7 linked regions of the Sus scrofa genome follow. The protein of the gene in region 5 interacts with the protein of the main gene of each other region in a pairwise test. Links are inferred from orthologs where the notes say so. Each region holds a gene or a part of one and is shown on either strand. Other genes may lie near its edges. The genes, in order: RIC8A, ZNF277, FAM161A, ZMYND10, NUTM1, MORN4 and SAMD4A.

Region 1 (4,204 bases), on a different chromosome or scaffold from region 5:
AGCCTCTGCCTGGAAGATCCTGTGGGTCCCTTTAGAGAGACCAAAGGACAGCCGCTGCTCATCACCAAGAGCTGCTTGTGTAGAGCGACACTGCGAGTCTAGCATCACAAGCAGGGACCAGCGGCTTCTTGGTCCCCCTCAAGAAGATCCACAAAGAGACCTAAAAACAAATACTTTGCTAGTCTCTGAAAACCTGCTTCTGTTTGTATCAAAAAGTCTGCCTACATTTCAAGGAGGACATTCTGGCTTCCTGCCTGGCTGGACCTTGGAGCAGCTGGAGGCATTGCCTGAATCCCACTGGGGAGCTGATCTCCCCTTACCAGTGCAGACTGCACAAAAGCAGCGCCCACAGCTGCCTGGGAAAGCCTGGGCCAGAGCCATAGCAGGGCCTCCTGCCCACCTGGTGCAGACGCTTCTCCAGGAAACTGAGGAGGGCATGAATCACATCCATGTTCACTCCCAGGAACTCCAGGGAGCCTTCGTGTGGCTCCAGGGTGAGAAGGACATCCAGACACTTGAGGGGCAAGTTCCCCAGGAGGTTCACTGTGTGGCTGGGGACACATGGAAAGGAGGGCTGGGTAAACCCAGGCCCCCAGCACAGGCGCAACTCTTGTTGCCCCCTGCTGGGATCACACATGACCCGAACCAGTATCAGGGGCCTGAGTAGCACCAAGTACCAGAGCAGAGGGAGGCCCTCCTTGCAGACATCCCACCTCCCACACACCTGGGTCGAAACAACAGGTAGTCCAAATTGGGACCCGCCCAGGCATAGGTCACAGAAAATGAAAGTGACAACCACACTGCTCTATGGATACCACAGTGTTCAAGGTCCAGTGGCACATTCTGTCCTGAGCTCACAATTCTTGTCCTAGCTGTGTGTTCTAAGTGCTGCAGCTCTGTGGAAACACACCAATGCCTGGTCCCACCCAGTTGGATGAAAACTCTCTCTTTAGGGCTGGAAACCACCATATAGACCTGAGAGCAGACGCCCGCCCCGGTGTGCCCAACAGGCACCACCCTCACCCGTGGAACTCCTCTGTGCGGTCTCCAGCAGCAGTGACCATCACACAGTGCCGCAGCAGGGTCCCCAGGTGCCGGTAAAGTGCAGTGTCTTCCTGACCAAAGAGAAAGGGGTGCCTGTGAGAGAAAGTGCCACTCACCCCCACTGCTGCCTGCTGAACATCTACTGCCTGGCCCACGGCCAGACCTCATGCAGGCCATGCATCTCCTCCACCACACCTGGCTGCTCAGCCTCACTTATGTGACCTTAAGAGCACTCTCGTGGTTAGGGACATCAACAGGTCCCTTTGGGATGAAGTCACTCTGTGCTCTCGCCCCCCGCCCCCCGAAGAATCTCCTACAGCCTGCCCCCACACCACACAGCACTCCTGGTGTTGCAAGAGCCAGATACGCGCTCTGATTCCTCGATGCCCTTATACGGAACGGGCACCTCCCTGCCTCCTCCTGACAAGCGCTGCTGTGCAGATGTCCTCCTGGTCCGACACCCAGAAACTTGAGGGTACCTGGCAGAGAGGCAGGTCCCGGAAGCATCCTAGTTGTTAAGCCCAACCGAAGGCTGAGGCCAGCCCTCACCTCATCCACCTCCCTCTTGATGGAGTCGAAGGTGATGTTGAAAAGCACTTTGAGGATCTCCATGGCCCGTTCGGTCTCCTGGGAAGGAAGGAGTTCCGGGGGTCCCTCTCCAGGGGTCATTCCCAGCGTCAGCTCCAGTGCCTCGGTCAGCAGGTGCACTCCCTGCAGCTCCTCAAACAGCTGCCTGCGCACATCAGTGCGAAGCGCCGTTAGCAAGAAGAGGAGGCGCAAGTCAAAGAACTGGACGTCATGCGGGAAGCTGCTCTGGCGGTACAGTCTCACTCGCTCTGCGAGCCTCACCACTAGCCCCGCCTCTGCGGCGAGCACCTGTGCCACGGAGCTGCTCAGCACGAGGTTGCACAGGCACTTAAGGGACTCGAGCACAACATCCATGTCCAGAGTCTCAGGACACGACCCCTTCGAAGCAGAGATGCCAGCATAGCAGGCAAGCGCTTGCAGGCTCTGGCGGCTGGTGAACGAGTCCAGGCAGCTGCGGTCCCTCGACAGGATGCGGATGCTCTGCAGCCAGATGACTCGGCGGGAAGGTGACAAGCCCTGCTCCAGGACTGAGACCAGCAGCTCCGCCAGTCTCTGTGGGCAGGGGAATAGAGCGGTTCCATCAGGCTCCTCTACCTGGGCCACCCGTCCCTGCCCCTTTACCCTTGATAAGCACCCACCTTCCTGTCCTCCTGTTGGGCATCGTCAAACGTGAAGCTCTGGGAGTTCTGCAAACAGACCCAGAAGATTAGGAGGCACAGGTCCACCGAAGCAGAATCCGAGCTCCAAGGCCGCAGACACCGCTCTCAATAGACAGGGCTCCCTTTCCCCACGGCACCCCCAGCAACTCTTCAAAGACTCGGTGCCCCTCCCCGCCGTGCTCGCCAACACCCTCAGCCTTCCGCCACGCTCACCACTCACACCCTCCCCGCCGGCCACGCGCGCGGGACCCACCCAGCCCCACCTCCTCCCTGCGCGTCCCACGTCCATAGCTCCCGCTCACCTCCCGGTTGTAGGCGCGCAGAGCCTCCATAACCACGTCCTCCTCCCCCGTCTCTATAGCATCCACTACCGCCCGAGGCTCCATGGCGCTCCCGGGACCCCGGCCCGAGGAAGCGGAAGGTACCTCGCTCCAAGGCTCTGGGCCCCAGACGGCCCGCCCGGCCCTAGCTCGGCGCGCGGGGGAGGCCGGGAAGGGGCGTGCGCGGCGCCGCGCGGGCGGGGGCCCGGGCTGCGCGCGGCGCCGCGCGGGGCGGGGGCCCGGGCTGCGCGCGGCGCCGCGCGGGGCGGGGGCCCGGGCTGCGCGCGGCGCCGCGCGGGGCGGGGGCCCGGGCTGCGCGCGGCGCCGCGCGGGGCGGGGGCCCGGGCTGCGCGCGGCGCCGCGCGGGGCGGGGGCCCGGGCTGCGCGCGCCTTAAAGTGGAGAGGCCTAGAAGAGCCCTCGGGAATTTAAAGGCTTTGATGTCTAGTCACGTTGCCTTTCAGTGTCCGACTCAGTGGTTATCCGACCACGGGCCTGAATCGCTCCGGCTCCGAGCAGTGAATTCCCTACGGGAGAGGGCCTTAGCTTCTCACCCCGCTATTACACGCACACTACACCCCTCTTGATGTACAGAACGAATGAGATGTTCCGAGGAAAGACGAAGTGGAAAGGACTTTGCAGCCCCGGGACCACTTTGTTTATTAAGCAGGCGTTTGAGGGCCTACAGCATGCAAGGAACCAGGATGTGGGTGAACAGAACCCACAGGTCCTTGCCTTCGTGGAGCTTATATTGCAGAGGTGAAAACAAAAACGGGAAAACGGGAAGACTTTAAGCAGTCATAGTGCTGTGATTGAAAAAGGGGCCTGATGGGCTCCAAGGGGATTTGAATAAGTGTCGCTTTTGCTGAGACCAGAGGAAGAAGTGAGCCAGGAAGGGATGTGGGGGAAGTTCATTCAAGGCCGAAGGAGCCGGCAGAGTAAAGGTGGGAATGGCCGTTGTAGGAGAAAGAGATCATTGTTGGGGCTGAGAGACAGGGGAGAGTGGGGAGGGAAGGTCCAGGTCAGGATGAAGGCAAAGCCTGATCATGTGCAGGGACTTCCTGGCTGTGTAAGCAGACACATCTTCTGGCCTGGACCCAGTTCCCTCTTTTGAAAAGCAGAGATGATAAAAGGTCCCATTTCGGTGGGTTGTCAGCACTAAACGACACAGAGTGAATGCTCCATTACAGTGGGTGAATAACATATACTCCACCCACTGCGCAACAAGCCTTTGTTGAGCATCTATTTTGTGCCAGACCCCTTGTCAGTGCCCGGGTGCAAGGTCGCAGCACCGGCTCCTCCTGCCCCTAACTCCCCTCACGCTCCCACTCTTCTTCCTGATTTCCCGTTTTCCTTCAAGTGCTTCATCCCTGAGATTTTTGCAGCGCTCGCTTGTTCCAGGCACTGATCCCCTCTTTATCCCGCCGGCAGCATCTGGAGCGTGCTTCACACCGAGTCCTCGCCTTAACCGCACCGCAGCCGGGCGGGCCTCGGACCCCGGGCCGTGTCGCCGCGAGGAGCCTCTCTCGCCTGAGAAAGGGCCGTGAGCTCTTTCCAGTTAGGATTTGACACCGCCTTCGGCAGGAATGGCCGCG
Region 2 (3,500 bases), on a different chromosome or scaffold from region 5:
GTGTTTTCAGCCTAAAAGGATTCCCTGTTATTTATCCTCTTTTTATTGAAAGATGTCCAGCCTCTTGTCTCTCCTGGGATTTTGATTTTCCTTGTTTAGGAATGACAAGAGGTTGACAGTATCTCAAAAAATAAATGCAAGGAGGGGGGAAATAATAAAAAAGGGCCCTGTATGTCTTTTGATTTCTCCGTCTACCGTGAAATTTAACACTTGCCCCATTTAAAACGATCAGTATTTCCCCATGGAAGATACACAGCTTGCCTTTTAAAAATACACCCTTTGTCATGCAGAAACCCACTCCCAGCACTGCACCTCACAGCAAGCGGCACTTAGTGCTGTGGTTAATGAGAGAGAGCATCACATCCACTGACATGGCTCCTCTGCAAATTAAGCTGCTTGTCTCAGAAAGACATTGAGCTGATTCTGCAGTGAAATAGCTGCTCAGATAGAGAGGCACATATAAGAAGATATGGCTGCACCTGTTTGCTGTTTATATTAATTTCATGGTGCTGCTTTGAATTTCAAAAGCTGTATCAAAAAGTCATAATATGATATACAAAATACCAGAATTGAAAGAGACTGGTGGGGTTTCCTAGGGGGAAGAAATACTAAGTCACTGTGCAAGACGCCTCCTAAATGAAGGGAATCTCCATGTTTGCTGTTTTCTTTTTAACACAGTGACTGGTCTGATTGGGAGGAACACCCTATCTCTGCTGTCTGCCTGTTTTGTGAAAAGCAAGCAGAAACAATTGAGAAGTTATGTGTCCACATGAAGGTAAGATATTTTATTCATTTGATTTTGTTGTGTTCTGACAGGGACAAGCTGATAATGACTGCAAACTCAACATTTTATACCTTTAGTTTTCCAAACATTTTATTTATTTATTTATTTATTTTGTCTTTTTGCTATTTCTTTGGGCCGCTCCCGCGGCACATGGAGGTTCCCAGGCTAGGGGTCGAATTGGAGCCGTGGCTGCCAGCCTACGCCAGAGCCACAGCAACGCGGGATCCGAGCCGCGTCTGCAACCCACACCACAGCTCGCGGCAACGCCGGATCGTTAACCCACTGAGCGAGGGCAGGGACCAAACCCGCAACCTCATGGTTCCTAGTTGGATTCGTCAACCACTGCGCCACGACGGGAACTCCCCCAAACATTTTCTCCTTCTGATTGTGCTATAAGCAAAACAGAAGAGACAGGGAGGGTCCAAAAAGGAGAACCAGAGCAAATGGCCTTCAGTACAGTTGACCGGACCTGGGTGAACTGTTCGGGATTTCACAAACCGCTGAGGCCTTCCCACCTTTGAGATGCTAATGAGATAGTTCTAGCTTAGAGGTGGGATCTGCAGCCACCATTAACAGTACCCAGGAATCTTTTTCCAGTGAATACGGAGGTCTGGGCGAGAGAGAACGTTGTCATTTGCAAAGCCCTTGGGGGAAATGGGGGTGGGGGAAGCATGGAGGTGGAGAGGGTATAGGATGTGGTCTTGCAGCTCCTTCAACTACAAGGATCTGGAGAGAAGAAATTTGAGGACATTTCCAGTTTGTGCCTTTCCTTCTAGACGCTATCTTCCTATTACGTTGAGAGTAGAGTTGAGTGTGATAGAAAAATATTACCAGGAGTTCCTGTCGTGGCTTAGTGGTTAACAAATCTGACTAGGAACCATGAGGTTGCGGGTTCGATCCCTGCCCTTGCTCAGTGGGTTAACGATCCGGCGTTGCCGTGAGCTGTGGTGTAGGTTGCAGACGCGGCTCGGATCCTGCGTTGCTGTGGCTCTGGCGTAGGCCGGTGGCTACAGCTCCGATTGGACCCCTAGCCTGGGAACCTCCATATGCCGCCGGAGCGGCCCAAGAAATAGCAACAACAACAACAACAACAACAAAAGACAAAAAGACAAAAGACAAAAAAAAAAAAAAAAAAGAAAAATATTACCAGATGATTCTGATGTACCCCTCCCCCACTCAGTTCTGCAGTAGTGGAGCGGAGGCTCCAGGTCCACCCACTTCACTCCATTCTTATCCATAAACACTGTTCTTAGTTCAGTAAACAAGGACCTGGAAGATGTTTAAAGGGCTGTGGGCATTTCCTTGTGAAAGCAGAGAATCAGTTTGTCTGAAACAGGTTGCCACTAGTATGTGTGTATTATGAATGCAGTTCATAATAACCTTGTATCTTCGAAAGGAAAGGAGCCTTAGTACCCCTATCCTGTATAAGAATTCCCTTTGCAGCATCCTTGACTGGTGTCAGCCTCTTCTCAGTCACTTTCAGTGATAAGATCATGGAATTCTTAATTATGCTGCCTATGGTGCTATACTGAATGCCTTCACAGGGAGTTAGATGGTGTTTATGTATGCTCTGTAAGTTTGTAAGTTGAAACATTTACCCATGTGGACAATTGCAGGAATGGAACAGAATAAAAGTAAGTCTGGACATCATAACAATCAAATCACATGTAATTTGTGGGAAGATATGAGTGAAGAGAAACTTACGGGTTTAAACACTGTATTTGACAGCATAAGACAAAAAGCATAATTTTAAAAATTACCTATCTGCTTGTGGAGCAAAGGGCCTGTATTCATAAATCTAGTCCAGACACAACACAGTAGGGCCACATCTTACATAGAGACTGAGACACTTTTGTCAGACTGCAGAATGCATACAGAGTAAATTGTAAAAACTGTAGATAGAAGCTGTGAACAATTAAAATGTTTTAACTGATTGACATGACTTGTTTAGACTGTGCTTTAAAAAGCAGTTGGATGTAGGGGGAAGCAGTTAAATTTCGAAGACTTCAAAAGCAGATGATCTGAGACTGAGTTTCTACAGTGTTCAAACTCCTGTGAATGAGCTGTCTGTTTATAAATTCAGCCTGAAAGATTAAATAATTTATATGCTCACAGATATATTCATTCCTTTTTTTAGGATGCACATGAATTTGATCTTCTCAAAATAAAGTCAGAACTTGGTAAGTCTGATTTGGAAGTTGTTTTCCATGATGCTGCATTTTTCTATACACCATCCCATAACAGTGCCTGTGTTCCACAGTCATGACTGGAGAGCACACAGCCAAAATGTGTCTCTCCACAGATGGTCTCTGCAGAACTGCCTGAACCACTGATTCACAGCCCTTTTAAACTACAATTTTTAAATGTGGTTTTTTATTTCATATAGTATTTCTTCTTCTTTCCTACATATCTGATTGCTTCAAATAAAATACAAGTTAATGATTAATATATATGATAAAGTGGGGGGGGAGCTAGTGGAAAAGACATGGATTTTGAAGTGAGACAAGAGTGCATATTCCAGCTTCAGCACTTACTGGCTGTGTGATGTTGGGCCTCAGGTCAACAGAATATTACAGAGAGTGGATAATATATATATAAAAAACCTACTGCACGGCTTGGTAGTGTAGCTAGAGTGTTTATTATATATTAAACCAGCTGGATCACTATGATAGATTAGAGGCATGAAGACGAAAAGTACTGACTTGCTAATGTGTCT
Region 3 (3,500 bases), on a different chromosome or scaffold from region 5:
ATAATGTCTCGGTAAATTATATAATACATAGGAGAATGGACTATAAAAATTAGGAGCTAGAGATGTTTTAAAAAAAAAAAAAGTTGACAATAGCTCTTAAATTCCAACAAACACAACCTGAGCAACTCTTTCAAATAGCAGCGGCCTGTTTTTTAATTTTTCTTCTCTTTCTTCTAGTTCTTGCCGATATTCTCTCATCCTTTCCTTTTCACTCTTTCTAAAATCAAATAAAAGGAATGGAATTTTTAAAAGAAATAAGAACTTGCACACATAACATTTAGCTTAGATGAAAAATCAGAAATTATGAGCACAGTTTATCATAATTTCTTTTCTAGACTGGTAAATGTTTATGGAATGCAGAATAAAAATCCTACATTCTCAGAGCATGTATTTTTTTTTATTCCAGGAACAGTTTGGGTACTTTGAAGTTTCTGAAATTTTCAAAACATAATGTATTAAGGGGCTTCAAACTACCCTGAGGAGATAAATGAATGCCCTCTATTTCATTTATAAGTATATAAAACCAAGAAAACTTAGTCTAAATTAGATATATTTTCTTTAAGGAATTTCTTCTGAAAACAGGACCTCGCTCTCTTGTTTTTCCCTAAATGAGATCGCCTATAGGTTGGTGGCAAAGTTAAATAATTAAATGGGAGCAGGGCAGCAGAGAAGTGGGGATTATGGGAGTACAACTTATAGAGGAACAGGAACCAAGATACATCAATTCACAGTAAGTGCACTTTTACAACAAGATCCTATAATGAATTAAATTACACTATTTTTCTCTTTGTAAAATATACTAACTCCACCAAGATCATAAGACTTCATGGATTAATAAAAATAATTCTACAATAAAGTAATAATTATGCCTAATTTTTAGTATTATGGAAAATGCAATTTACTTTCTAAGCATGAATAAGTAAATATTTCTAAAGAATATCTTTCTTGGAGTTCCCATTGTGGCTCAGCAGAAACAAATTTGACTAGTAACCATGAGGACACAGGTTTGATCCCTGGCCTCACTCAGTGGGTTGAGGATCTGGTGTTGCTGTGAGCTGTGGTATAGGTCGCAGACACGGCTCAGATCTGGCATTGCTGTGGCTGTGGTGAAGGCCAGCACTATAGCCCCCATTCGACCCCTAGCCTGGAAACCTCCCTATACTGTGGGTGTGGCCCTAAAAAAAAAAAAAAGAATATTTTGCTCAGGAGTTCCCATCGTGGCTCAGCGGAAATGAATCCAACTAGGAACCATCAGGTTGTGGGTTCAATCCCTGGCCCCACTCAGTGGGTTAAGGATCCAGTGTTGCTGTGACCTGTGGCATAGGCTGGCAGCTACACCTCCAATTAGACCCCTAGCTTGGGAACCTCCATATGCCTCTGGTGCGGCCCTAAAAAAACAAAAAGACCAAAAAACAAACAAACAAACAAAAAACAAATATTTTGCTCAAGTTCATCAAATCAAGCTCCTTTTGTCAATGAATTACATTGATATACGTTATAAGAAATATATACATAATATACATTATAAAGGAATATAATTACTATATATAATATACATTTAAGAAAGAATACTCATAATTTAAAACAAATATAGATTTGTGGGGTACTTATAAATCATACCAAAAATTAATACATCATATTACTTACCCAGCTTTGGGGGAGATATTTTCCTACTTAAATATGAACATTTTTATGCTGCAACATAAAAATGTTCCTCTGGAGCACTGATTTTCAAACTTTGTACTGTAGAATTCCAATATGTAACACATACCCCTAAACATTAACACATGTCAACTGACCCATCACATAACTGTGAATTAACATCAGTGTGTTAATTTGTGCTATCAGATTTTGGGCAGAACTTAGAACAAAGCTCTCTGACATATCTTTGTATGGACGAATATTCTGAGATTACATGGCAAGCTGTTAAAAAAAAGAGAGAGAGCTCTGTGTGAATCAAGATTTTTCTCAGTACCGTACTGTGCAATAATAATATAATGAAAAGGTTTAGACGCTGATAGAAGATTACAACCATGAACTATGGCCACAATATAAAATGTTCATCAACATGGCATCATGGTCCTCACCATGGGGTGAGTATACATGTTGTTCTTACCATGAAGGAAAGGAGTGAGGGTGAGTGTGTAAGTTAACTCTAAGTAACTGATGGTAACTTGGATCCAGAAACTGAAATACTAACACTATGCTTAATCTGTTCACATATTGGGTCCACTGATTAAAAAAAGTTTGAAAACCAATGATCTGGAGGGTCAGGACTCTCTCGTGATACCTGAGAGATTTTACTCTGGATTTAGACATCTGAGCTAGACTTTGATGTGAGTCATAAGCCTTAGCCCGGGTTGTCAGAAGTTTCTGCAATTCTTTCATTCTTTGCTTCTGCTTAGTTAGGATCCGATTTCTCTCTTCTTCCAACATTTTCTTTTCCTCAAGTGATCTCCTGAGGGCAACAAACTAAGGCTTAATTCACTTTAAGCCAATGAGAATGTTGTTTAGCAAAGATTTAACACAGGATAATTCAAAGGTTGAAAAAAAGGGGCAACCTTTTGAGAAGGATCTGACTTGTAAAATTAGAAATCAATAGGCTGACTATAACCATTTCTATTCCCAAAGATTCATAAAATGGAAAATATATCACTTCTTAGAAGAACACCCTTTGGCAAATGTTCTATATTACACAGTAAAGTATGTTACCAGATATAATAACTTCACATTTTCGAATTCCACGTACAAAAGCAATAGCAACCATGAATCAGTACCGCATCGCTTATTTACCTTGTGGCTTGCTCTCTTCCCCTAGAGGACACTGTGGGCATTGGAGGGTTGTAGCTACAAGATGCAGGCTTTGCATTCATACTTCTTACTGGTGATTTGTGCCTTGGAGAAAGATAAGGCCAACGTGTTTCTTTTAAATTTTCTTCATCTGCTTCAATGTCTGCCAGAATTTTCTCTCTTTTAGTGGAGGCATGTGAGGCTGTATGAAGGTCAGACGGTTCACAGACTGTTAGGAGTTTGGGACATTTCTGTTCCGAGTGGTATTTCTGATATCCCTCAGGAAGGTCTTCAGAGTCAGCAGTCTGGCACCTAACTTTGTGTTTATACTTTGACCTTTCAGCCTGTTCAGGACACCTGGGCTTCCTTGCAGCAAAACTTCTGCGAGCTGGACTGCAAGGCAGAGGGGATGAATTTTGTAATAACTCTTGGGCTCTCCGCTGTGTCCTAATGTTTCTATAAAACTCATCTTCTGTTAACTTGTCTTTGACAGTTGAACCATAAGTAGATAGAGGGACAGGTCTGGCTTTGAATCGATTTGTTTTCTTTTTAGACTTAAAAAAGTCTTTTAGCTGCTTTTCACGAATTGCTTGCTTCTGTTCCTCTCTTGCCATAAACTTAAACGGCCTTTGTGAGGCCAAAAGAGCTTCTTTGTATTTCTCCCTCATAGACCTCCTCCGTTCCTCATTTTGCTTGACTACATCATGATA
Region 4 (3,943 bases), on a different chromosome or scaffold from region 5:
CCACTAAGTGAGGCCAGGGATTGCACCTGCATCCTCATGGATACTATGTTCGGTTCTTTACCCTCTGAGCCACAACGGAAACTCTGAAAATGCCAGATTTTTAACTGCTAGGCCACTAGGGAACTCCCTAGGCCCACTTTAGGTGAGGCATTCTGGTATTCTCTGTGGGCAAGGGGGCAGAGTTTGTCTGCTTGTGTGCAAGCTGCCCCCCTGTCAATCCTGGAGGATGTCCTGGAAGCAGTGGGCTGGGGCTTAGGCAGATGGAAGAGGACCTTACCTCCTTCCTGCCGGCTCCAGGGACTATGCTCCAGCAATTCCACCAGGAGACAGGGTAGGTTGTGGGTGCTGAGCATGCGGCTCAAGGTGCTCAGGGAAAGGCTAGGGACAGAGATAGAAAGGTAAGGAGAAACTACAAGCCCAGGCTCCCAGCCCTCCATTTCAGGCCCCAGACCTGGTAGGGCTGCCCACCTGTCCACACAGTCTGTAATGTAGCGCAGCACCGAGAGGGCCTTCAGTGCAATCTCAAATTCCATCAGCTCTGCCTGCTTTTGTAGTTCCTGAGTTGGGGGGTGGGACACACGGCGTTCAAGGTGGGCCATCTTCTTGCCTGCTTAGACCTGGGGGAGCCTGGGTCTAGCCCTTGCCAATCCTAGGGAACCTCAGCCCACCTGCATGGGGGTGCTGTACTGGGACTCCTCTTCCTCTGAGGGGCCATCATGGCCACAATGGGCCACCAACAAAGTTAGTTTGCGGTGGCAGTAGTCCACAAGGTCCAAGACAGTGTCCTCTGCTGATTCACACACCTCCTGGGGGTCAGGAGGAGGGGAACATTCTGTCTCTGATGCCCTTCCCACACAGATACAACCCCCCTTGCTGCCAGGCTCTGGCCTGGGGCAGTAGCCAGTGGGCAGGGCGGGTGCCTCACCTTGTGGAAGAACACTGTCTCCAGGAGGTTGATGATGGAGGCTTCGTGGTGTATCTGTCAGTTAAAGAGGAGAACAGGACCCTGGGCTGCTGGAAGAGGGATAGGGGCTACCAGCTTCCTTCTCTAGTCTGGGTCCCTCTGAGGGGCTGAACAGGGGTATGAACCAATGGCCCAGCTCACCACCATGTATATGGGAAAAGTATTCTGGGGCTTGAAGTCCTCCAGCTTGCACAGCACAGGGAACACCTTCTGCTTCCACATCTCCACTGCAATCAGCTCCTCCACCAGCGTGGGGATCTTTGGGGTGAGGGGGTTAATACAGGGATGAGACGGGCCTGCCTTGGCCTGGCAACTTTCCTGTTCCTGGCTCAGCCCAGCCCAGCTCTTGTCAAACTCCCCTGGGCCCGTAGACTCTCACACACCCCACAAATTCCTTCCCGACCTCTCTTCTGCACCTTAGCGCTCCATTTCTAGCTGCCCCCAGTATCTCTGTGAGGGCATCTGGTGTCTTATGACTGGCCCTTGCCTTGTCCCCAGGATGCCAAGCTCCCCCTGCATCTAAGCCCTTATCCCCTCCTTCTCTATTCAGGTGTACCTCTCAGCTCATGCCCTCCTGCTCATGCCTTCCCTCTTGTCCTTGTCCTCTGGCCTCACTGCTTTTCTGTGCCTTGGCCTCACTCTTACTCAGCATCCCCCTCACAGTGCCCTATTCCTAGCCTCCCCCTGCCCCCAGTAGAAGTTTTCCTTGCAGAGGAACCTTGCTGTCAGGTGCTATCTCAGGTCATTTACTGTACCATCACCTGGCACATGTTCCAGCTGAGCCAATCTCTGGTTTCTAACTCCCTCTCTCGTTTTGGGAAGGTTGCCTCCTTCCATGCCAAAGTCTCACCCTCACTTCAGTGGGGACCTCCTCCAGTCTGTCAGTCTATTCAGGAAAGGCTTTAGAACTTGGGACCTCTCCCTACAGCCTAGGGTGTTCTAGGATCCAGGACTATCTCCCTAATCAACCCACGCCCTCTACCCTGCCTGGCATGCTAGGGTCCTGTCCCATAGGGCTGTAAAATCAAATTGTAATAATACACTATTCCTTCTCCTTTAGGGAGGACAGGTGTGCCAGCCAGAGGGAAGCACAGGCACCCAAGTTACCCCTGAGGTGTAGAGTGGTGGGGTGGGTGGTGGTGAGAAGGCAGGAACCCTGTCTGTGATTCCAGCATACCTTCCCATGGGTGACAAGGAGCTCCTGGATGGGTTCGCCCTGGCTAGCGGTGGCATCAAGGATGGCCTGCATGTTCAGTTTCTCCAGATTCTCATGCTGCTGGTTCCATCTGCCCCACAGAGGGTGTGTGTGCATGTGGATGCACGTGTGTGCAGTGGGGGTGGGGGCTGGGTTCTGTTGAAGCCTAACCCCGATCCTGAGGCGTCCGATGTAGCGCAGGACCATATACGCCCCCGCCCCCTCAGTCTCTAAGAGCTTTACCTCCCCACCTGGGGGCCCTTCCACGCTGGGCAACCCCTCCCCCCAAGGTCAGGGCTACCCTCTCCCACTCAAAGACTCTGACCCCATGACTCCGCCTGCCCCAGGATCCAGCTGCCTCACCCTCCGGAGCCCATCTCGCGGATCTGGAAGCTGCGCAGTCCCCGCACTAGTACGTCAGCCTCCCCGGGCAACAGTAGCTCCAGGTCGCCCATGTCGGCGGCCCAAGGTTACAGAGGGCAGGAAGGCGGGGTCCAGCTGACAGCGGGCAACAGCCGGCTCTGAGGTAGGGGTGCTGACACTCTGGGGGACCACGGTCTCCGGCGGGGCCCAAGTCTGGGATCCTGCAGTTGCGGAGCGGTTGGGAAGTGTGCGTCTTTGCAGCCATGGAAACCGTTAGCACGGCGCATGCGCAATGCGGCCTAGGCCCCGCCCCCGCCTGCAGTGTTTCGGGGTAGGGTGGCAACCCTCCACTTTGCCTTACAGCCGGCTGCGGCTCACGGGTCCCTAATTCCCAGTCTTGTGGCCTAGGCTCCCTCCTTGGATGGACATCAGGTCGGCCGGACCTCATCAGCTCTCCCTGCCGCTGGTCTGTGGCCTCATTGCAGTAATCTCTCGTGTCCAGCTCCACTACCCGCGAAATACTGCGCAGGGCTCACTTCTCTCCATCCTAGTCCAGGCTGCCATCACCTCTCATGAGGTAACTACTATGGCTTTTTTACTGAACCACTTCCACTCTTGACCTTTCCTGAGTAGCTAGTCTTTTAAAGACGTACATGGTGAGTCTGGCTGCCCCTGGCCGTCAAAATATTATGTCAAAGGCAGTTTACCAACAGCTCTGCAGAATCAGGCTCTTGCCCCCTCTGCTACCTTGGGCCTTCGTTTCTTGCCCCTTTTGCTTTTTATGTTCCAGCCCCATGGGCCTCCCTTAACTTCCTCATACATCCCAAAGTGGCTTTTGCTTCAGGGCTTTTGCAGTGTTACTTCTGCCTGAAATACTTTTCCTCCTTCGGGGTTCAGTTTAAGTCAGTTCAGCCAGGCCTTCCTTGCCCCTCTAATCCAGAGCAGCCCCAGCACCCGTCCCCACTCAACTTTTCATCTCCTCTTCCTCAGTTTATAATTAGTAGGCACTTTCACATGCCCATTATCGATCCTGACCACCAGATGGCGTTCCAGGGCGCCAGGGCGATGGTCATCTCCTTCACTGATAGTTGCCACTTCTCTCTGGTGGCTGCCTCAGAGTCGGTACTCAATAATGGTAAGTTGAAATACATTACTTTATTTACAGAAATGGGGGTCAACCTTGAGACCGTATGGCCTAGTTTGCTGCTCTATTCCTCATGCACCAGGCAGGGCTTAGCTGGAGAGAGCAGCCATAGCCGTGTGCCTAGTTTAGCTCCCATCAGCCTCACTTCCAGCAGATGATGATGTTGGGGTCGTTTTCCAGCCGTTCATCCAGCTCTTGGTAGCTCATGCCTGGGTGGTGTAGTGGAGGAAAGGTCAGCGGCCTTGGCTTGGCCACCCTGCCCTAATCCTACCTCAGC
Region 5 (3,500 bases):
GGCTGAAGGCTGGGAAGGCTTCTGGATACATCTAGTCCAAGGCTACCTCACCTCCTTTCTTCTCGGCATCTTATCGCATCTAGCAGCGAAGACATGAGTACAAAAGGGCACATTGAGAACATTTTCCAACAACAAAATCTTTTATTCATGTTAGCTTTTTCTCCATACAACTTGCAAAGGTAACTTTCCCTGGACCGCTCACCATGGGCACCACCTCCAGCCTAGCCCTGTGCCCTCCCTCCCCACGCTCACCACTTTGGCAGAACCAGAAAACAACAAAGGGCTGAGAACAAGTGTCTATTGGGGCTAGTCTCCAGGGGATAGGCAGGTGGAACAGGTGGTCCTGCTGCTCCCTACTGGCTGCGACGTCGTTTCTTCCTCCTGCCAGTCACAAAGCTATCCCTTCTTCTCTTACGAGGCTGTGAGGCTCGAGCTGCTCCCAGAGCCTGGGGCTTCTCCCCAGGTGCCCCAAGTTCAGCTCCAGGGAAGGGCCTCTTTTCAGCAGGCACCAAGCTTCCAACTAGAGCTCGCTTCCCAGGCTTGGCGACAGGATGGGGAGCCTGGCCGATGCCCCTTGGCTCAGGAGCAAGGGAGTACGATGCTCTCTGGGTCCCCCGGCCCCCTGAGTCAGGGCGAGGACTGCCAGGAGGTGCCCTGGGCAAGAGGCTCAGTTTAGAGGCCAAGAGGTAGGCAAAGTTGGAGAGTTCTTCATCTTCCTCCACCCCTTTCTCCTTCGCTCTGGCCCCATCTGCTGAACTGCACGTCTCAGTGACAGGAGCTGCTTCTCTCAGAACTAAGGTGTCCCTGCTTCCCCACATAGGGAGAGTGTCTCGAAGGCCCTGGTGAGGGGATGTTGATTTGGGGGCCCCGTGTGCATTAGACCCTTGACCTCCTGGCAAGGGAGCAAGGTCTTTAGGCTCAGATAAGTCAGTATCATCTCTGCCCTCTCCTTGGGGGTCACGAGAATTAAAACTTAGTGTGCAGGTAACCTCCCTGACCCTAAGCTGGAGGCCACGGCCATCTTTCACATCTAGTATGCTGACATGTTCTGTGGCTTCCAGCAGAGAAGAAATGGAATTGCCTCTGCTTCCTGCCTCAGGGCTGGCCTCAGGGAAGGAGTTATCTTGGGTCCCCAGGAGAAGGATACTGCCTTGATTTGCAGGCAGGAGGGTTTCTCTGGAAGCCCCCATTCTCCTTTCTAACAGTGGAAGGCAAACTTCAGCCCACATATCACTGGAATCCTGTATGGTTTTGGGGCTCTGTTCTTTGTTTTCTTTAGGCCTTGAGGCTGAGCTGTTGGCCCTCAGAGATTCTGACAAGCTGCAGTAGTTTATCTCCTCGAGGGCAGTTGTGGTGTCTGTGCCTCCACAGGGAACTATACTGCTTCCCACATCCCCAGGTGCTGTGCTTTCTCCAGGACCCAGAGAAATGTTGCTTCTGGAGCCCAGTGCCTGGCAGTTCCCCTGGCACTCAGTTACACATTCCCCATCATGAAATGCCTCTATGACCTCCTCGATTTGTAAGGGCAACTCCAAGCCTATTGCATCCATCTCATTGCTCAGCCAAAGCCCTGGACTGAGAGAGGCCCTGTCCCTGTCCTCGGCTGCCCTGGGGGAAGGGTTCTGATCATAACTCTGAGCTGCGGGAGGACCTCTGTCATCTGCCCACTTGGTCCCTGAAGACCCTTCCTGGGGCCCTGCTAACTGCTCCTTCCCCTGAGGAACTACTCCAAGATCCCCTATCTGTTGTCCTGTTTGCAGCACCAGAGCCTGCTTTGCTAACTCCTGTCCTTGCAGAGGAGCCAGCCCTGCAAGTCCAGCATCCATACTGGGAACTAGCTCAAGCTGGGGCCCTTCCTGCCAGCAAAGGGGCAGAGCCTCAGAAGTCCCTTCAGCCACCAGGGAGTGCCCAGGGGATCCGGCACCTCCCAGATGGGCATCCTGATGGGGGAGTATGGGGTTTGTAACCTTCCCAGATCGTCTCTTCATACCCAGGGGCCCTTGAGTTCCCTGTGGAGCTGCAAGTTCTAGCTGCAGGTCCCAGCCACGGGGGGATGGCAGAGTGTTCCCATTCTTGCTCGTCCCCCTCAGACCATCTAGGGCCCACTCCTGCCCACCAGGCACTTCTCTTGCCCTCTTCCCTGGAAAAGCAGCCTTTTCAAGGCAAATGGTGCCCCCAGCCACCCGAGGCCCAGGTGAGGGCCGAAGCCGCCCACCCCCCACTTCATCCTCATCAGAAACAGAAGGACTTGAGTCCGATTGGGCTCCACTGCAACTTGGAGGTGCCTCTGCCTCCTCCTCTTCCAAGGCCAGGAGCCGCTTCTGGACCAGCTAGAAGGAGAGTGGACGGATACTGTTCTAAATGTGGTAGTGAAAAGGGGAGGCTGGCTGACGGTGTGAGAAGGAGATGGTTCTTGGGCAGGGTAGGGAATGCAAACAAGTGGCTTAAGTGAGAGTATCAAAGCCAGATACCATAGCTCTTTTAACACATTCTTGGGTCTTATTCCCATGCTTTGAGCCCTCACTCTCCCCTTTTCCGTGGTCCCTTGCCTACTTGTTGGGCACCCAAAGCTGAATGCTGAAACTGTCATCCCCAGAAGCCATACCATCCAAGGCAACATAGGGCCGGATAAAGTCATGCGAGCTTCTTGTCCTGATTCTCTGCCTCCAGGCTTACCTGGGAAAAACTGAGTCCTTCTTCTTGCTCCAGCTCCTCAATTAAGGCCAATGGATCCCTCTGTTGTTCTGGGGACAGCAGATCTGCCAAAAATCGAGGGTGAATGACAGCCTCCACCTGGGGAACGGAAGGAGAAGTGATGTGAGTCCTTAACAGGAGGTCCGAACCAGGAGGCTCTAGAAAAGCTATGTACCCCCCCCCCCACTCACACCCTTTCCCTGGGTTGTTATGAACCATCAGCTACACACATTCATATATGCACACAGGTTCCTCAGCATGGGAAAGAGTAGTTCCTAACTGCCTGGGTCAGAAGCCAAGATCTTTGGTTCCCTGGGGTTCCCACCCCAGATCTACTAGAAAACAGGTGCCCAGGCCCAGCCCACCTTGGAGACAAACACCTCCTGAGAACAGAGCTCATCAATGTACGTCAGGAGGCCTGCGTCTGGATACATCCCTTCCTCCCGCTGCTGCTCTTGCTCTTCCTGTTTTCCATCTGACTCCTCGGTGGCGGCGTGACTCCCCACCAGCCCATCCATGATGTCGGCATACTCCTTCACAGCTTCTTCTGGGATCTCCTTGGGTGCCTCCACAGCCGGAGGCCTCTGGGCTTTGCGCTGCCGCCTGCGGGGAGCCCGTGCCTTGGACGCAGCCTTCTTGGGAATGTACACTGAGGGTCAAGGAGGGAAGGAGACATGGGGAGTGGCACGGAGACCACGGCTTCTGCCTCTCACCCCCATTTGTAAGGGCAGCAGCCTGGATCAGGTTAAAGACTGGTTACAGACTGGATCAGGCAAACCTGACAGTACCAGCTGTGGGAGAACATA
Region 6 (4,250 bases), on a different chromosome or scaffold from region 5:
GCAAATTCCCATTTCTTTTTGTTCCAGGGAAATACAGCAAACTTCAACACTTGCGGAGTTCCTGTCGTGGTGCAGCGGAAATGAATCCAACTAGGAACCATGAAGGTGCACATTCAATCCCTGGCCTCCCTCAGTGGGTTAAGAATCCAGCATTGCCGTGAGTTGTGGTGTAGGTCCAAGATGCAGCTAAGACCTGGCGTTGCTGTGGCTCTGGAGTAGGCCGGTGGCTACGGCTCTGAATAGACCCCTTCCCTGGGAACCTCCATATGCCGCAGGTGCGGCCCTAAAAAAAAAGACAAAAAACAAAACAAACAAAACAAAAACTTCAACACTTGCTTGTCAAAATGATATCCATTCCCAAGAGCACAATCAGATGTGCTAATGAAAGGAAACACATGTATACTCCATGGGTCTCAGGCCTCGGTGGAACACATTAGACTAGAAACGTCAATGTGCGTCCAAATAATTGATATTGGCATTGCCTGAGACAGCGTCAGGGTTTTCATTTATGACTTTTGTAATTAGCCATGCTAATTAATAGCTGTGTAGCCACTGACCCAAAAAAAGAACTTCATTAGTAACCATGATCACTAAGACAAATCTAGTTTAAAAAAGTATAGCTGTGGAGTTCCCTTCATGGCGCAGTGGTTAACAACTCCGACTAGGAACCATGAGGTTGCAGGTTCGATCCCTGCCCTTGCTCAGTGGGTTAAGGATCCGGTGTTGCTGTGAGCTGTGGTGTGGGTTGCAGATGCGGCTCGGATCCCACGTTGCTGTGGCTCTGGTGTAGGCCAGTGGCTACAGCTCCAATTCAACTCCTAGCCTGGGAACCTCCATATGCTGCAGAAGCGGCCCTAGAAAAGGCAAAAAGACTATATATATATATATATATATATATATATGTAGCTGTGCTGATGAAGATTTTTTAAAAACCCAGTAATTGAATAAGGGATGCAAGTCAGTATTTTTATCAGCCACTCAAAAAATCTTTTCAAAGGAGTTCCCTACTGGCTCGGTGGGTTGGGGATCCAGCAACACACCACTGCCATGGTTCAGGTGGCTACTGTGGCACTGGTTTGATCCCTAGCCCTGGAACTTTTGCATGCCGCTGGTGCAGTAAAAAAAAGAACAACAACAACAAAAAACACCTTTTTTTTTTCAAAGAGAAGAGATGGCCTAGGAGTTTAGGCTTCAGATATACATGTGGAATCTAGTTACAAAGCCAAGACAATTCATGCTTCTAGACAGATGTCCACCCTTTCTCTCTCTTGATAGACAGATTGCAAAGGATCAATCCAAACATTTATCTAAAAGAAAATAACTATTTTATCCCTGTAAGCCAACACACTATCAGTCTACACAACAGACTATATCCATACCATCTTTATGTTCTCCTGCCCCAGACATTTCCAAATAGAACTCAAAGACAGTAAAGAGACCTTTTGTTTTCATTCCATTTGCCTTTTTTTTTTTTATTTCAGAAATCAAACTGGTTAAAAAACATTTATGCATTCCCGGTAACCTGTTTCCAAATTCAGAGGATTAAAAAACCTAACATAAAGGGGAAAAGATTTTCAATTTAAGAATATTTTTTGGAGGCATCTACTATCTACATATACCTTCACAGTGTCCCCTTAAAGCCACCCTCCTCAGGGTATGACAATCTTGTCAAAGTTCTTTCAATTATAAAAGCTCTTAGGCTTTTAGAATCCTAAAAAGAAGAAACTGAAGGCTTTAATGAACAAAGATCAGGCTTGTAAGGAACCCAGAACAAGAGGTCAAGTGTTCTTTTTAAAGTATTTTAAGTGAGCCTAAAATAACTGTCCTTGTTATGAGTCTGTGAGTCTCTTTCACTCATTCTTCCTTGGACTGGAAAAGTAAACAAATGTATGGCCACTAGATAAAAGTCAGCGGGAATACAGTGGGACAGTTTGATGGAAGAAAGTGGGAAGAAAATCCTGACAACAGAAAGGTCAAAACAAAACAAACCAAATAAAAAACCCCAGACGTCTTTGGATGAGAAGGACTGCCGGGACAGTAGAATAGACACTATTCTATTTCATGAGAAAGTAAAATGCCTGGGCCGGGTTCTAACAGAGCCGAATGACTCCCGCTGGTACCAAAACAATTTGGAGTTGCCAGACAGTAGGGATAGCACCATCAACTACCTGATTGAAGCATCCCATTTTCCAAGCCTCGACGTGTGTTGGGGACGTCTCTCCACCAGAGTGTGACAGAGGCGGGCCGGAGCCAACAAAGCCCTAGATTGCAACAAGGCAACAATTCCCCGTCCACCTCCCCATTTCTTCTCCCATCCGGTTCTTGCCTTCCAGCGCCGCTCCTTCTCTCCACCCTGGGTCAGCACTCCCGTGCGGGCGGGGTCTTCCACTCACACAGGTATGGCATCCCCTCCTCATATAGCCCCCACCTACCCCACTCACCATCCTGGACGCCGTGGGCTCTCTCGGGCCTCGGACCCCGCGGTGGAGACGGGAGGCCCAGGTTTGGGACCCTCGAAGAGCCACCGCCCCCACTCCAGGATGGAGCCGCGCTTCACAGCCGCTGTCATCTCAGGATGGGCCCCTCAGTGCCTTCCTCCCCGACCACATTCCCCTGACTCCCTCCCACCCGCGCGGCCAGCCAACCTGGGCTCAACCTTCCGGGATGACCGTCTCGCCCCGACGCGGGGCTCCAGAGGCCCGGACCTCCGCTCCGCCGGGCTCGCCCCTGCCACCTGCCTCTCCGCCACCACCTCCAGTGCCCGCCCGACTTGACGCCGCCATCCCCTGCAGCCGCACCGAGCACAATTCCCGCGGCCCATTGGCTGTTACCTAGGCAACTGGGAGCAACGCCACTTTCCATTGGTCCAGCCCGGGCTCCGCGCCATCTTTGTGTGGGGCGGAGTGTCTAGGGAGCCCCTGGCGGAACATCCTAAAGAAGGGTGGGGCTGACCTAAGGTCCCACCTCATCCACCCATAGAACTCAGGTCTTGCCTGCCTAGAGGCACCCTAGCCGAAATGTTAACCCCCAACCAAACAAAACCAGACCTGTGTCGGACGTAACAGTGACCAACTCCAGCGGCTCGGATCCCACTTAGATCTGCACAGTTGTTAATGGCACCTCCGCGGAGCTGAAGGACAGAACCCCAAATCGGCTTTTGAGGTGCAGTTTTGTAAACTGTAAAGCGCAAGACGGGGCAACTACAGTTTAATGAGTGTCAACCCTGTGCCAGCACTGTGATATCAGGGCACTTTTTTTTGCACTCATTATAGGGATTTATGGTGGTGGTGTCATTACTCATATCCTTTGTATTTAAAATACAGTTTGCTCCAAGATTGGAGCAAATCCTCCCAATAACCATGCACACCAACCGGTTTATCCATATGTTTACTTACCGAGCAATGCGAATGCAGCGTGATGCCAGGTCCTGCCAGGCTGGAATAGAAATGATTACCGCTCTCCTAGGATTTACTGCCTAGCTATGGAGAAGAAAATATTCATGCACACGGAAAAATTCAAGACAATAATTAATTGTGGTGTTTTGTTTTGTTTTTTTGTTTTTTTAGAGCTGCACCGGTGGCATATGGAAGTTTTCAGGCGAGGGGTGGAATCAGAGCTGCAGCTGCCAGCCTACGCTGTAGGCACAGTAATGCCGGATCCGAGCCACTTCTGGACCCTCACCACAATTCACCTGCAACACTGAACCCCAGACTCACTGAGAGAGGCCAGGGTTCAAACCTACATCCATGGATCCTAGTCGGATTCGTTTCTGCTGATCCACAACGGGAACTCCTATAATTAATTTTTAAGAGAAGACAAGCCTACAAAGAGAGTAAGCAAATTATTTTGCTGAATTGGGATTTCCTAGTCTGTCGAATAGGGTTTTTTGTTTTGTTTTGTTTTTTGCTTTTTTAAGGGCTGCACCTGCAGCATATGGAAGTTCCCAGGCTAGGGATCCAATCGGAGCTGTAGCTGCCAGCCTATGCTACAGCAACGCATGATCCCAGCCTCAACTTCGACCTAGGCCACAGCTCACAGTCACAGCCATGCCAGAGCCTTAACCCACTGAGCAAGGCCAGGAATCAAACCCACATCCTCGTGGATACTCGTCCAGGGTTCATAAACCCGATGAGCCACAATGGGAACTCCCAGAATAGGATGTTAATAGTAATAATGACATAGTCTCCCTGACACTTGTATGAAAATACAATACAAAATGCTCAGTACTGTATCTCACATTCTAAGTGCTC
Region 7 (3,500 bases), on a different chromosome or scaffold from region 5:
AATATTTTGAGAGGTATGTATGACTGCAGCTTTACGTCAGGTTCACAAAAAAGGCCAGGAGGCTCTTCATTCCACTGAAGTCAAAGGCTTGGTCACTGCAGGAGCCCTCGCCTTCGGAAGCCCCTTTGGTTAATTCCACGCATACCATTCTATATTAAGCCTTCTGCAACCCGGCTGAGACAGACACTCTGGGAGAGGAAGAACGCAGCAGTGTTCCGAGCTCTGTCTTTGCAAGGGGCTCCTTTGGAGAGGGAGTTCAAAGGCCTTAAAGACCATCAGTCCTTATCAGAGAGCTGTCGCTGTGACTTTATGAATGAGCCGTCTCACTTGGAAGAGCGAGGCGGCACATCGTTTAGGGCGTGAGGTTTCGTGGGCAGGACCATGAGCAGGGAGCCTGCTGCTCCGTCATCGAGGGTGACTTTCTCAAAAACAATGCACTCATTTACACCTGCATAGGTTCACCTACCCACTCAGATGAGTTCTCACAAAGCCAGAGCAGAGCTCGTCTGTGGGCAGAGGACACACCCCCACAGCGAGCCCATGGCCACACTAGTGCAGCCCATTCTCTTCTCACCCCAGAGCTCCTGATGCTCTGATTTTGATGGGAATGTTTAGAAGGCCAGGTGGAGACTGCTGGACAAAGATGTCAATTAGAAGTCAAAATGCCTCACCATCAGGCAGGCCAAGCTTAGGATTACTGTCCCTAATCCTGCAAAACCAATCTGTCCCAGAATCCTATTTATACTATGTCTTGGCACCTAAATTTCCAGTATAGCATTGTTGAACCAATATATATATGTTTCAGTATAGCATTTCTCCAGCACAACAAAACATGGAAACCACCTCTGAGGTGTCCATTTGTGGGGACCCCTATTAAATTACGGTTTATGCACACAGGGGAAGAGTATGCAGCCTGTAAGGAAGAATGAGTTGGAATGTTTGTATTAATAGAAATACTGAAAGCATATAATGTAAAAAAAGAAAGTTGCAAAGAAATATTTAAACGAGACTTGTTAGTGTGTAACAAGGATGTTTCTGAGGGGGTATTCTGAACCTTTTATCATGGTTACCTCTTAGTAAGAAGACAGCAGGGCCTAGGAGACAATGGGTACTATTTTTTTTTTACCTTTTACCATTTTAGTTAGCTCTGATTTTTTTTTTTTTAAGGATGAACATGAATTCATATTATAATTTATTTGATTTCTATAGATTTAAGTCTTTTTATGGACATGTATCACAGGGAGTTTTTCACTGCCTCTGTACAACTCAGGTATCTTTTTTTGTTTGTTTGTTTAGAACCCAGTTCCTTAAAATGATCTGAAACCCTGGACACCAGAAAAGACAAAAATTGTTTCCCCTTCCCAAAGGAAAATTACTGGCGTTCAGCACATGTTTTTAACTAATCAAGATTTCTTGTGAAGCTTTCATCCTCATCCGGCACAAATTATTCTAGTGTCAGACATGGTCAAGGATACCTCCATGAGGGTCTGACACAGGGCAGGCACAGGCAAAAAGGGGCTCTTACCCAAGAACCACGTGGGAATTCTAGGCTGCCCTGTAGACACACAGCGTGGCCATGGTAACTTGTGTGGGCCGTGGGCAGGCTGCCTTTAGCCTGAGGGTCCAATGGCCCAGTGAGCACTCCACCAGGAGGGCCCAGCAGACCCTGGTCTGAAGGAGTGGGACAGAAGGGAGCCAGGATTAAGGAGGAGGGTTCAGGGGTCAGAGAGCTCCGAATTCAGATGTAAATGCCTTAACTTCTCTGAGCCACACTTTCCTCATCTCTAAAATGGGCTACTGACATGTTGTACCCTGGCAGATCACCCAGCACCCAGGGGAAGCCCCTTGGGAACTGGTAGCTCTGGTCAGTGGTGCTGAGAGGCTGGAAGATCGGGCTCTACCTACCTTTCCCCATGACACGTGTGAACTGCCCGGGGAGGTCCCCCTCTGGCAGGGGGGTGACAGCCAGCTCCCCATCACAAGTGCTCAGCTGGTGCGGCTGGAGCCCGCCGCTGGCCCCGGCCGAGGCAGTGGCAGTGGCTCCGGCGGCCGTGGCACTGTCTTTGCAGTCAGGGCTCTGGCTCTCCGGGCCCATGAGCGAAGGCGGGTGTGGGGCCTGGGGCTCCCGGCGGCGAGCCTCGGGAGTGGTGGTCGGGGAGCTGTAGGCCTTGATGGGAGTCAGGATCATCTGGTGCAGCTCCTGGAGCGGGGTGCGCAGGTTGCCGCCTTCGATGATGTCCTGGGTGGTCAGAGGGAAGAGGACCTCCGTTAGGGTCAGGATCCAGGTGGCCCACTCCAGCCTCCCTTCCTCTGCCGGAGCTGTCCCCAGACAGGGCCCACGGCTGCTGACCCCTTCATTAGAACGTTCTCTCAAGAGTGAGCATTTAAAATTTATCACTCTAATGTTAGCCCAGGTAGAAAACTGGGAAATACACACAGGTAGAGGTAGCGAGGAAAATACATCACCTGAAGATCTCACTACTCAGAGATGATCACTGAAATGATTTGGGTGCGTTTCCTTCCCTGGCTTCCTCAGTGCCTTTCTTAAAAATGCATTTTTATAGTTTACATTCACACATTATGGAAGCTGGATAACAAAGTTATACAGGGTCACATGGTGGTTTTCTGTCCTGTATGTGATGTGGTTTAGATGAAGGAACCTGATCATTCACGCCCTCACTCAGCCCATGACACAGGCAACACAGGCAGTGGGTAAAAACACAGACTCTAGGACAGATGCCTGGGTTTGACTTCTGACACTGCTGTGTGGCTTTGGGTAAATGACTTAACCCCTCTGTGCCTCAGTTTCCCTGTGGATGACAGGAAGATAACCGCAGGACCTGCCTCATAGAGGTGGTTGTGATGATGTTCCTATTTGCAAAGCTGAAGGTTTCTGTATCATGCGCTTCTTTGCTACATTAATAAGTATGTTTTGGGTGCTCTGCCCAGCTGCCCCCCGGACTAGGTATGGGGATGTGGCTGGAAAGCCATTAGGGTTCCCTCAGGGAGGGTGCATCCTAGCACAAGATGAATATTCACCTTGAGGCCCAGGTCAGGGCTGTGGGAGGGGAGGCTAGCTGAGGGGCGACATTGGAGCTGGAACTCAACTGAGCATGGGCTGCAGGCTCCTGGGAAAGCATGCTCCAGATAGAGGGCACCATGAGGGCAAAGTCACTGAGGTGGGTACATGCCTGGAATGAGGGAGCAACAGCAAAGGGGGTGTGGGGGGGTAGGGTAGAGGAGGGGAGAGAAGGGGAAATGAGAGCCAGGAGCAAGGAGGCCTGCATTAGGAGTCAGCAGGGAGGCCAGAAATTCTTCTTCAAGAAGTGAGAGGTCAGGGAGCAGGGGAGTGACATGTTTTAGAAGGATCATTATAGAGAGAAGAACGTATAATAGAATATGTGTGCCACACAGGTACACCTTGGAGATAATGCCGATTTGGTTCCAGACCACTGCAATAAATCCATGATCTCAGTAAACCGAGTCACACACATTTTTTG

The links.
Region 1: the proteins of NUTM1 (region 5) and RIC8A interact in binary tests that used the Homo sapiens proteins (3 or more experiments, as listed by UniProt). The link is inferred for Sus scrofa from reciprocal best matches to the Homo sapiens genes NUTM1 and RIC8A.
Region 2: the proteins of NUTM1 (region 5) and ZNF277 interact in a two-hybrid assay, tested with the Homo sapiens proteins (2 studies listed by BioGRID). The two-hybrid records come from large-scale screens. The link is inferred for Sus scrofa from reciprocal best matches to the Homo sapiens genes NUTM1 and ZNF277.
Region 3: the proteins of NUTM1 (region 5) and FAM161A interact in binary tests that used the Homo sapiens proteins (3 or more experiments, as listed by UniProt). The two-hybrid records come from large-scale screens. The link is inferred for Sus scrofa from reciprocal best matches to the Homo sapiens genes NUTM1 and FAM161A.
Region 4: the proteins of NUTM1 (region 5) and ZMYND10 interact in binary tests that used the Homo sapiens proteins (3 or more experiments, as listed by UniProt). The two-hybrid records come from large-scale screens. The link is inferred for Sus scrofa from reciprocal best matches to the Homo sapiens genes NUTM1 and ZMYND10.
Region 6: the proteins of NUTM1 (region 5) and MORN4 interact in binary tests that used the Homo sapiens proteins (3 or more experiments, as listed by UniProt). The two-hybrid records come from large-scale screens. The link is inferred for Sus scrofa from reciprocal best matches to the Homo sapiens genes NUTM1 and MORN4.
Region 7: the proteins of NUTM1 (region 5) and SAMD4A interact in binary tests that used the Homo sapiens proteins (3 or more experiments, as listed by UniProt). The two-hybrid records come from large-scale screens. The link is inferred for Sus scrofa from reciprocal best matches to the Homo sapiens genes NUTM1 and SAMD4A.

The regions. Positions count from the first base shown.
Region 1 is NC_010444.4:30,767-34,970, reverse strand, and holds the start of RIC8A (synembryn-A), read right to left. Parts: upstream 2,801-4,204; 5' UTR 2,678-2,800; coding exon 2,594-2,677; intron 2,319-2,593; coding exon 2,271-2,318; intron 2,185-2,270; coding exon 1,594-2,184; intron 1,116-1,593; coding exon 1,024-1,115; intron 552-1,023; coding exon 401-551; intron 1-400.
Region 2 is NC_010460.4:33,315,107-33,318,606, reverse strand, and holds part of ZNF277 (zinc finger protein 277), read left to right. Parts: intron 1-678; coding exon 679-775; intron 776-2,921; coding exon 2,922-2,964; intron 2,965-3,500. UniProt on the Homo sapiens protein: Probable transcription factor. Involved in modulation of cellular senescence; represses transcription of the tumor suppressor gene INK4A/ARF, perhaps acting via the Polycomb group (PcG) complex PRC1.
Region 3 is NC_010445.4:79,966,198-79,969,697, reverse strand, and holds part of FAM161A (protein FAM161A), read right to left. Parts: coding exon 2,794-3,500; intron 2,459-2,793; coding exon 2,291-2,458; intron 218-2,290; coding exon 118-217; intron 1-117. UniProt on the Homo sapiens protein: Involved in ciliogenesis.
Region 4 is NC_010455.5:32,827,238-32,831,180, forward strand, and holds the start of ZMYND10 (zinc finger MYND domain-containing protein 10), read right to left. Parts: upstream 2,801-3,943; 5' UTR 2,615-2,800; coding exon 2,523-2,614; intron 2,251-2,522; coding exon 2,142-2,250; intron 1,223-2,141; coding exon 1,106-1,222; intron 980-1,105; coding exon 926-979; intron 807-925; coding exon 669-806; intron 558-668; coding exon 469-557; intron 379-468; coding exon 278-378; intron 1-277. Other genes in the region: NPRL2 (nitrogen permease regulator 2-like protein), read right to left, coding at 3,808-3,875. UniProt on the Homo sapiens protein: Plays a role in axonemal structure organization and motility. Involved in axonemal pre-assembly of inner and outer dynein arms (IDA and ODA, respectively) for proper axoneme building for cilia motility.
Region 5 is NC_010449.5:80,149,498-80,152,997, forward strand, and holds the end of NUTM1 (NUT family member 1), read right to left. Parts: exon of another isoform or gene 3,344-3,500; coding exon 3,060-3,343; exon of another isoform or gene 2,794-3,059; coding exon 2,677-2,793; exon of another isoform or gene 2,331-2,676; coding exon 354-2,330; 3' UTR 267-353; downstream 1-266. UniProt on the Homo sapiens protein: Plays a role in the regulation of proliferation. Regulates TERT expression by modulating SP1 binding to TERT promoter binding sites.
Region 6 is NC_010456.5:108,996,811-109,001,060, forward strand, and holds the start of MORN4 (MORN repeat-containing protein 4), read right to left. Parts: upstream 2,801-4,250; 5' UTR 2,646-2,800; intron 2,627-2,645; exon of another isoform or gene 2,442-2,626; intron 2,262-2,441; 5' UTR 2,182-2,261; coding exon 2,169-2,181; intron 1-2,168. UniProt on the Homo sapiens protein: Plays a role in promoting axonal degeneration following neuronal injury by toxic insult or trauma.
Region 7 is NC_010443.5:184,107,337-184,110,836, reverse strand, and holds part of SAMD4A (protein Smaug homolog 1), read right to left. Parts: intron 2,240-3,500; coding exon 1,906-2,239; intron 1-1,905. UniProt on the Homo sapiens protein: Acts as a translational repressor of SRE-containing messengers.